Arabidopsis thaliana: one gene and its partner. The protein of the gene in region 1 interacts with the protein of each later gene in a pairwise test. Each region holds a gene or a part of one and is shown on either strand. Other genes may lie near its edges.

What was found. The genes of interacting proteins can lie anywhere in the genome.
Region 2: the proteins of AMT1;1 (region 1) and AT2G28990 interact in a protein complementation assay, tested with the Arabidopsis thaliana proteins (one study listed by BioGRID).

The regions. Positions count from the first base shown.
Region 1 is NC_003075.7:7,856,614-7,860,450, forward strand, and holds AMT1;1 (ammonium transporter 1;1), read left to right. Parts: upstream 1-1,569; 5' UTR 1,570-1,606; coding exon 1,607-3,112; 3' UTR 3,113-3,305; downstream 3,306-3,837. Other genes in the region: AT4G13500 (uncharacterized protein), read right to left, coding at 374-518, 965-1,034, 1,099-1,261. UniProt on the Arabidopsis thaliana protein: High affinity ammonium transporter probably involved in ammonium uptake from the soil, long-distance transport to the shoots and re-uptake of apoplastic ammonium that derives from photorespiration in shoots.
Region 2 is NC_003071.7:12,452,997-12,460,244, forward strand, and holds AT2G28990 (Leucine-rich repeat protein kinase family protein), read left to right. Parts: upstream 1-1,640; 5' UTR 1,641-2,058; coding exon 2,059-2,128; intron 2,129-2,243; coding exon 2,244-2,781; intron 2,782-3,379; coding exon 3,380-3,855; intron 3,856-3,986; coding exon 3,987-4,131; intron 4,132-4,209; coding exon 4,210-4,281; intron 4,282-4,375; coding exon 4,376-4,447; intron 4,448-4,526; coding exon 4,527-4,604; intron 4,605-4,821; coding exon 4,822-4,982; intron 4,983-5,069; coding exon 5,070-5,320; intron 5,321-5,403; coding exon 5,404-5,530; intron 5,531-5,645; coding exon 5,646-5,711; intron 5,712-5,864; coding exon 5,865-6,054; intron 6,055-6,136; coding exon 6,137-6,545; 3' UTR 6,546-6,709; downstream 6,710-7,248.

The sequences.
Region 1 (3,837 bases):
TACTTACAAACAAAAACTTAAAGACTTTGCAATTTGCGTTACGAATATTTTTCGTCAGGCTGTAATTTGAAAAGTCTTCTAGATGATTTCAAGTCTCTGCTTAATGTGCCAACTAGGCTCTATGTCACTACTTTGTGTTGTCTCTAATTCTCATTCTTCTTGACAAGACCAAACATATCACTAATGATGAAGAGATGACTAATATTTGTTTATACATTTGCTTGTAATGAAGACATGTAGTATAGCAAAGCACCATATAATATAGTGATAGCATTCTATTAATTTGTTCTTTTTTACAGCCGAAGAAGAAGAGTATAAGAAACATGTTTAAGATTCAGCCTTAAACAAGTGAAGAAAAAACAAAAAGAAAGGCTCAACGAATGGGAACTTTGATCCAACCATTGGCAAAAGCAATGGCTAAGATGACGAATGGAGTTGACATACCGAATATGATAATGTAAGGAAGAGGCGTCTTCATCGGATTCTCTCCTTCTCTTTCTCCAACGCTTTGCCAATACCTACAAAATTCCAATGCAATCCTCATCCATAACCATTTCTTCAATCACAATTGCATGTTTATGAAAAATGAACATGCAAGAATTTAAGTTCTTTTTCTATTTTAAAAGAGTTTAGTTCTTTTGACTAAACTACAACCCAAATATTTTTATTCTTTTGCTAACACGGATTTGAGTCTGGATATTGATACAATACTAACACAATGTCACAAACCACCAGTCTACATGTCATTGACACATACAAAAAAAAAAACTACTTAAATTCTGCAATGGAGACTAAAATTTTTGTATTAAATTGGTAACCTACATATCGTTTTGTAATTTTCCATGTTTTCATCAATTTCCTAGGTTTGTTTTTCTGTGATTTTGCAAAATTACATTACCATTCTATGAGTTTCTGTTATTTTCTACAATCTCATGATGAAAATTGAGAATTAAGATTAACTTACTGTTCAGGTTCTTCCTCTTTGGTTATAAACTTTTTCTTATCTTTAGGCTTCACTTCTCCATCTCCTCCACCTTATGCAATAACCAAAGATTAACAAAATTTACATCTACAAACAAATAAAAGATATAAGAGTACCTAATTTGGCATGAAGCTTGAATTCTGGGAATCCTAATGGTGATGGTGGACAAAAGAATTGAGGTAAAGCAAGCAATGATGAATATGAAGAAGATGATGAAGTTGAGGAATCACTAGCCCTGTGGCTAAACGAAGAAGAAGAAATTCGAAATTTCGCTGCCATTTCCAACAACTATATGGATGTGATAGAATATTTTTACATTTTATTTTTCTGTTATTCACTTATACATTTGGATGTGATAGAATATTTTTTTCTGAACACACAGATCTTATCTTCACCGATATATTAGCTGAAGCCTGATACATTTACATTCCTTATTTATTTTTTATTCACATGTATGTACTAATAAACAAAACTTAAAGACTTTGTATTATGCGTTACGAATATTTTTCGTCAGGATTGAAAAGTCAACCCTAGGCCTTTAGCTTCCTTCTTTTATATAAACAGAGAAACAAAACACTTTCTTTCTCAGCCTCTCTGTTTCATCTTCTTCTCTAAACTCTCAACATGTCTTGCTCGGCCACCGATCTCGCTGTCCTGTTGGGTCCTAATGCCACGGCGGCGGCCAACTACATCTGTGGCCAGTTAGGCGACGTCAACAACAAATTTATCGACACCGCTTTCGCTATAGACAACACTTACCTTCTCTTCTCCGCCTACCTTGTCTTCTCTATGCAGCTTGGCTTCGCTATGCTCTGTGCCGGTTCCGTGAGAGCCAAGAATACTATGAACATCATGCTTACCAACGTCCTTGACGCTGCAGCCGGTGGTCTCTTCTATTATCTGTTTGGCTACGCCTTTGCCTTTGGATCTCCGTCCAATGGTTTCATCGGTAAACACTACTTTGGTCTCAAAGACATCCCCACGGCCTCTGCTGACTACTCCAACTTTCTCTACCAATGGGCCTTTGCAATCGCTGCGGCTGGAATCACAAGTGGCTCGATCGCTGAACGGACACAGTTCGTGGCTTACCTAATCTATTCCTCTTTCTTAACCGGGTTTGTTTACCCGGTCGTCTCTCACTGGTTCTGGTCAGTTGATGGATGGGCCAGCCCGTTCCGTACCGATGGAGATTTGCTTTTCAGCACCGGAGCGATAGATTTCGCTGGGTCCGGTGTTGTTCATATGGTCGGAGGTATCGCTGGACTCTGGGGTGCGCTCATCGAAGGTCCACGACTTGGCCGGTTCGATAACGGAGGCCGTGCCATCGCTCTTCGTGGCCACTCGGCGTCACTTGTTGTCCTTGGAACATTCCTCCTCTGGTTTGGATGGTACGGATTTAACCCCGGTTCCTTCAACAAGATCCTAGTCACGTACGAGACAGGCACATACAACGGCCAGTGGAGCGCGGTCGGACGGACAGCTGTCACAACAACGTTAGCTGGCTGCACCGCGGCGCTGACAACCCTATTTGGGAAACGTCTACTCTCGGGACATTGGAACGTCACTGATGTATGCAACGGCCTCCTCGGAGGGTTTGCAGCCATAACTGGTGGCTGCTCTGTCGTTGAGCCATGGGCTGCGATCATCTGCGGGTTCGTGGCGGCCCTAGTCCTCCTCGGATGCAACAAGCTCGCTGAGAAGCTCAAATACGACGACCCTCTTGAGGCAGCACAACTACACGGTGGTTGCGGTGCGTGGGGACTAATATTCACGGCTCTCTTCGCTCAAGAAAAGTACTTGAACCAGATTTACGGCAACAAACCCGGAAGGCCACACGGTTTGTTTATGGGCGGTGGAGGAAAACTACTTGGAGCTCAGCTGATTCAGATCATTGTGATCACGGGTTGGGTAAGTGCGACCATGGGGACACTTTTCTTCATCCTCAAGAAAATGAAATTGTTGCGGATATCGTCCGAGGATGAGATGGCCGGTATGGATATGACCAGGCACGGTGGTTTTGCTTATATGTACTTTGATGATGATGAGTCTCACAAAGCCATTCAGCTTAGGAGAGTTGAGCCACGATCTCCTTCTCCTTCTGGTGCTAATACTACACCTACTCCGGTTTGATTTGGATTTTTACTTTTATTCTCTATTTTCTAGAGTATTATTTTAAATGATGTTTTGTGATACTTAAATATTGTTTTGGATATTTTTTTGCATTTCAGTAATGTTTTAGATGTACAGTTTCATGGGGTTGTGATGATAATATCTATGTGGTCATTTGTGTTCTCTTTGGAGTTTTTTCTATAACGCTTTTTTCAAATTTTATGATCATTATTTGCTGCATTCTAGATAAGCAATTAGGAATGTGAAGCATGGACTAAGTAAAAGCCTGACCGTTTTTAAGTTTGGACTTTTGATATAGCTCATACTTTTTTGATATTAGTTCATACTTATTGCTTTAAATAGCTAAAAAGTCTAAAACAAACCTTGCATTGACGCAATAGATATAAATAACTCGAAGTATTGCTTTCTAGAAGCATTAACAATTTGGTAAAACGAAGTTGAACCATTTACTCAAGCATAATAATCAGAAATGACAATCTTTCATGTCTGATGCAAATAAATAATAATTTATGGAAATAATTTCTATGTCTTACATCACTAATTAGACTTTTAGATGCTTGCAAGTTTGAAGTTTCAGCAGAAGTAGGTGCTTTTACAAACTCTTTTTTGTTTTAATTTGATAAAGTGTGTTTTTACAAACTCTGTTTTATTTTATTTTGAAAAAGTGTGTTTTTACAAACTTTCAACCAACCTATTCACGAATCTCTAATTTCATTTGTCCACCA
Region 2 (7,248 bases), on another chromosome or scaffold:
CCACGGACATTCCAAAAGAAACCCGACATAAAAATTATTTCTTTTTATGAGCCCTATGACCTGAAACACTAGGGTTACCCTTCGTGTTTTGATTCGCAGAGCTTTTGACCACCTTATGCTGAGACTTTGAGATTCGTGGGATGTACGGACGAGTCCCTTGAACACCAACTGAATCTGAATTATCATTTAATTGTTGGGAGAGAACAACAATTTCTCCTTCCTCATGACCGTTTGTGTCAGCCGTGTCCTCCTCCACTGCTAGGACATCAAAACGAGAAGGAGACGCATGATTAACTACTTCTTGAGGTTGAGGACTCCTCTGCCTGCCTACCTTAGCAGGCGATACCGTGTGCCAGGGACCTTCGTCCTTCAAATTTTCCTCGTTTTCCTCTGCAACTTCCTTTCCCTTATTCTGTAAAACAGTCGGATTCTTCATTGGAACTTTCTGAGTGTGAGAATCACCGTTTAGCGTTTTTGTCAAAGTAGCCGAAGGAGATTTCGATAGTATTTCGAGAGGTTTTTCTTTCATGAGAGGAGGCTCTGTTTTATCCTCTGTTTCTATCTCCGTTGGTGTGGATAGCTGATTGGGTGATGGACGCGTTAGACAAACCTCTTGTATATGTCCCCACTTAGAGCATGAAGAGCATCTCGGCGGCAACCAAGGATACTTATATTCGACCATTGCATCAACGCCAGTTTCAGATTTAAAGCGGAATTGTTTTGGCATTTCCTGTGTTAAATCTGCTTCTACAAATACCTTAGCTTCCTCAAAACTGTTGCACAGAACTGTGTCAGGGTGAAGCTTTTTTGGTTCCCCAATAGGACTTGCAAGAAAACTCAGACCCTTCCAAGTAAACATTGAGCGTGGAACATTTTTAATGGTGATCCACATTGGCATTGTTTTAATTTCTGGCTGAGCATCCTCAGCAACCGGGGACCATTTAGAAACGATCATAGGCATGTCAGCTATGTTCCACATTCCTCTGCGAAGAACCCTAGCTCGGACTGAACTCTCTCTGATTCGGAATTTGATTGTTTTAGTGTCTACCACATATGCGTCAATCTTTACCGTCTTGTCTCCAAGTGGCCAGATCTTGTTCACAATAACGTGAACTTTTGCAATATGCGGAGATATTTGTGGAAACCGCCCTATGAGCAAATCATCCCACAATGGTGTTGAATCTTCAAAGATTTCATTTGGGACTTGGACAATCGAATCACCGTTGACCATTGTTACGTTGAATTCATGCTTCGAAAGGGTTGGTCTATTCTGAACAATTGATGAGTATGATGGTTTGGTCGTTTCTGGGGAAGCTTCTGAACTTTTCGATGTGCTCTCCACCACCATCGCCGTCGACATGATGGGGGAAGACGGCGGAAAAGCCGCCAGATCTGCCAGATTGGGACACACGGTAGTGAAACCCTAAATCGCCTTCAAAATCGCCCTGCCACGTCAGCCCTAATTTTTTACCTTTGATTGATTGGTCTATGATTAGTTTGCCGCTGAAAAAATCAACAAAATATAATGTGTCAGTGAATAACATGATTTTTCTTTTTAATCAAAAAACATGATCTTTGTATACTAATTCTGAAACTTAATTATATATATTCGATCCAATCTAGTAAACTAGTTTATAGGACGGGATCCAAACGAAATACTTATCCACGAAAGAAACCTTTATATATCTTTGTGCTCGAAAGTTTTCTCATTCGTTATTTTGGTGGCTGACTACTAAATGAAGATATACCAAATGATTTTTCTTCACTCAAGCAATTTAAGCACATAGACAAAGTAAGATCATCTGGCGATAAACCATACATTCGTGGAGGAAATATTCCTACACATGACGAGTCTCCTGAACATATACAACTATTCAACACCAGATTGATTATTTCCACGATCATTATTTAATTTTCTACCCGGAGTTGACTTTTGTATATTTCATTCCAACTTATACATGAGGTATCTCTCAGTTCCATATCTTTTGCAGTTTTCCCTAAGCAAGTCTTTGTTTTTTCTTGAGTACTAGAGAAACCGGATAGTGATCGAGAGAGAACATGAAGATTCACCTTTTGTTGGCCATGATTGGAACCTTTGTCGTTATAATTGGAGCCCAGGATCAAGAAGGTAATGATATATACCATCTCTTTCTTGTTTATAAATCAATCCTTTGACTTGTGATATGTTATATAAGAATGTATCAATATCACTTTTCCCATTTATTGCTTTTATATTTGAACAGGTTTCATCAGTTTAGATTGTGGATTACCTAGTGACGAATCTCCTTACGATGATTCGTTTAACGGATTAACATTCACATCGGATTCCACTTTCATCCAAACAGGAAAAATTGATAGTGTCGATAAAGATCTTAACATAAACTTATCAAAACAATATTTGACTCTTAGATACTTCCCAGAAGGAAAACGTAATTGTTATAGTCTTGATGTCAAGCGTGGCACAACTTATCTCATCGTGGTTAGCTTTGTATATGGAAATTATGATGGTCTTAACCGTGATCCAAACTTCGATATCCATCTTGGTCCCAATAAGTGGAAAAGAATAGATTTGGATGGAGAGAAAGAAGGTACAAGAGAAGAGATCATACACAAAGCCAGGTCAAACTCTTTGGATATTTGTCTTGTTAAGACAGGAGAAACTTTGCCAATAATTTCAGCCATAGAAATACGGCCACTAAGGAATAATACGTATGTTACACAATCTGGTTCGCTGATGATGTCTTTCCGGGTTTATCTTAGCAATTCAGATGCATCTATAAGGTAAGTCAATCTATTTGAAGCATTCAATGTGACGTTTTTCTTTTGAATAAAATTTAACATTATTCTTTTAAAAAATGTGAGGTTTTTCTCTCTTTTTTTTTCTGGAGAAGATATGAATGAGGGGATATGTTGACTTTACTTGTGTTAAAAACATCATTGTTGAATGATGTGTTCAAAATTTTAAGACTCCAACGTAACTACATTATGCCAAAACTATATGGCAAGTCATTGTAACAATTGAACAAAGAACTAAGAACAACGAACTAGAAATAAAAGATACTAATATGAGCTAAGAAAACAAATTTTTTTTTTCTTTTTTTTGTTCACAATTAAAACTAAATTAATTAATTGAAAGAAAATAAGCAAGAACCAAACAACCAAATCAAACATACAAAAGACTAACATTATTGTAAATCAAACTAAACAAGCAACGATAAATGAAATTGAATGATTGAATTCATTATTAAAAAAACGAGCCAAGGTGATTGACTCGGATAGTTGCCAACTAACTTAGTTTTTGGTATCTTAGTTTCATAGACTAGTATTTGGCTAATACAATTTACTTATTAATTTATGTGGCTAATAAAATTTATTGTAGGTATGCTGATGACGTCCATGATCGTATTTGGTCTCCATTCAACGGATCTTCACATACACATATAACAACTGATCTCAATATAAACAACTCAAATGCATATGAGATTCCAAAAAATATACTCCAAACTGCTGCCATACCAAGAAACGCCAGTGCGCCGCTGATTATTACGTGGGATCCACTACCCATTAATGCGGAGGTATACTTGTACATGCACTTTGCGGAGATTCAAACCCTTGAAGCCAACGAGACGAGGCAGTTTGACGTTATCTTGAGAGGAAACTTTAATCATTCAGGATTTAGTCCAACCAAGTTAAAGGTATTTACATTATACACAGAAGAACCAATGAAATGTGGTTCAGAAGGTTGTTATTTACAGCTAGTAAAAACACCGAACTCAACTCTGCCACCTCTGATCAACGCTATTGAGGCATACAGTGTTATCGAGTTCTCACAATTGGAAACAAGTCTTAGTGATGGTACGTACCTCTCAGCTTTCAATATTACAGGAATGTAACTTATATTATAAAGTATAAGCTATGATATTGATTCTTACATTATATTATAAAGTATGATATTGATTGTTACGTTCTCTTAATAATTGTGTCAGTGGACGCTATCAAGAACATCAAAAATACTTATAAGCTGAATAAAATCACTTGGCAAGGAGATCCATGTCTCCCTCAAGATTTGTCGTGGGAAAGTATTAGATGCACCTACGTAGATGGCTCCACTTCACCAACAATCATTTCCTTGTAATGTCATTCACAAACTTACTCTTTAATTTAAAATTTAAATATCTAAATATTTTGTATGTGTTTTTGTATTATTAGAGATTTGTCGAAAAGTGGATTAAATGGGAGTATACCCCAAATTTTACAAAATTTCACGCAATTACAAGAACTGTAAGTATCTCTACTGTTGATCACCTGAACCAATAATGATTTATTTGGACAGAATATGTAAGACAATTTCTTTTGTTTGTGCATATAACCACAGGGACTTATCAAATAATAGCTTGACTGGACCGGTGCCTATCTTCCTTGCCAACATGAAAACGTTATCTTTAATGTAAGCTATCTAAAAAGCATAAATGAACATTTTGACCTGCGTATGTATGTATATATAATGGTTATCTTTGTCTCAACAGAAACTTAAGTGGGAACAATCTCAGTGGTTCAGTTCCTCAAGCTCTTCTTGACAAAGAAAAAGAAGGACTTGTGTTAAAGTAAGATTTCCTTTTCCATAGAGGGAATGCATTTACTAATCATATAGTAACAAAGTAGAGGAACTTCATTTTTGGAGACTATTTAACTGCTAGATCTTTCTTAATTAAGAGAGTTCATGTCGATTAAATTATCGCAAAATATGGTACCTGACAGTTCGATTATTGCCTTTCCTATGCAAGCTATTTACAATTTCAAAATATGTCATATTCATTGTAGACTTGAAGGAAATCCAGATTTGTGCAAATCCAGTTTTTGCAATACCGAAAAGAAAAATAAATTCTTGCTCCCGGTTATTGCATCAGCTGCCTCTTTGGTTATTGTAGTTGTGGTTGTGGCTCTTTTTTTTGTCTTCCGAAAGAAGAAGGCCAGCCCTTCAAGTAAGTTATGAGCCATTAATAATTTGTTTACCTGCTATAAAGCAATGCATATAGTTAGCATATAACCAAATATACTATCATATGTAGATCTACATGCTCCACCAAGTATGCCTGTATCGAATCCCGGGCACAATAGTCAATCAGAATCATCATTCACATCGAAAAAAATTAGGTTTACTTACTCTGAGGTTCAAGAAATGACAAATAACTTCGATAAAGCTCTCGGTGAAGGAGGATTTGGAGTCGTGTATCATGGTTTTGTTAATGTTATTGAACAAGTAGCAGTTAAATTGCTATCACAATCATCTTCTCAAGGCTATAAGCATTTCAAGGCAGAGGTACCCTTTTTCTAGTAATTCTCAATAGATATCCAATTGATTTGTATATCTCTAAGAGTGTTGGATGATGGATGATTGGTTAGGTGGAACTCCTTATGAGAGTTCACCATATAAATTTGGTGAGTCTTGTTGGGTATTGTGATGAAGGAGAACACTTGGCTCTTATTTATGAATACATGCCAAATGGAGACTTAAAGCAACATTTGTCAGGTAATATCACATATATAATTGTTTTCTTAATAAAACCTAACCATGATATAATTTTTTTTTCTGAATAATTAAAGATCATAACTAAATTGATATGAAGTGTGTTTAATTGATACAGGAAAGCATGGCGGATTCGTCCTGAGCTGGGAAAGTAGACTAAAAATAGTTTTGGATGCAGCACTAGGTATTCATTAAACTTTAAGACAAATGTTTAGTTAATAATTACAGCTTTTATGGGTATTAGTATGGCCTCGACCGGATCAGAAAGGAACCATATGATGATATCGAAATTAATCTCCATTTTCCAATAAACGATGGTATTAAATTTAATATGTAGGATTGGAGTATTTACATACTGGATGTGTACCACCAATGGTTCACAGAGATATCAAAACTACGAATATACTTCTAGATCAACATCTCCAAGCTAAATTAGCTGATTTTGGGCTTTCAAGATCTTTTCCCATCGGAAATGAGAAAAATGTGTCAACTGTTGTTGCTGGTACTCCTGGATATCTTGATCCTGAGTGAGTATAACTTCATATGTTAGTTCCAAAATCACCATTCCTTTTTTTTACTTTACAATCACAACAATTTCTTGTTTTGCAGGTATTATCAAACAAATTGGTTGACAGAAAAGAGTGATATATACAGTTTCGGAATTGTACTGTTAGAGATAATTTCAAACCGTCCTATAATCCAGCAATCCCGTGAAAAGCCTCACATAGTGGAATGGGTCAGTTTTATGATAACAAAAGGAGATCTTAGAAGTATTATGGATCCAAACCTCCACCAAGATTATGATATTGGTTCTGTCTGGAAGGCCATTGAATTAGCAATGTCATGTGTGAGTCTTTCTTCTGCAAGACGACCAAACATGTCTCGAGTTGTGAATGAATTAAAAGAATGTCTTATATCCGAAACCTCTAGGATAGGTGAGGGACGAGACATGGAATCAAAAGGTTCAATGGAATTCAGCAGAGACATTTATAATGAGGTAATACCTCAAGCTCGCTAGCTCGTCAAAATTTATTCTTGCTGGTTTTTCTTCTCATGAATATTCAAATTTGTGTGTTTCAAGAGTGTCTTTCGCCAATAATAACTAAGGCTTTCACTAATAACATGTAATACTGATGTTGAATTGTCGTAGTGTGATATATATTTTGTGAAATACATATGGTGAAATTTATTGAAATTATTTCATGAATTTGTAACCCACAACTAATTCTCGTCTTTGTTTCTATCTCAAGAAATGCATTAGGTTGTTCCCACTTTCGGTATTTTGAAAACCAAAGGAAGAGTTGAATATACCAAAACTTATGTATTTCCTTCAAAACTTAAGAGCTGTTTATATTTCCTTCAAAAGAAGATAAATAAAGAAGATATAAATGGTCTAATAAACCAAAAGTTGGTCAAAATTTAGTCTAAATATAAAACATGAACGTAATAGAACTTGTTTACAAGCGTATATCTCGTTGATCCTGAGTTTAATAAGATGTATAATAGTAAATGTTACGAAGAACTCCAATAATGAAATATCACAAGACAGATTTATCTTGTGGAGAGGGTTCATCATGTAAATGTTTTTTTTTTTTTCACCATGTAAAGTTGGTAATTCTTGTTGTATATTGTTTTAACGAAGACACACTTCGACCTAGTCTAGTACACAACCAGTGGAGATTTAAAACAACATCTATCATTCAAATTGGACAAAGAAATAA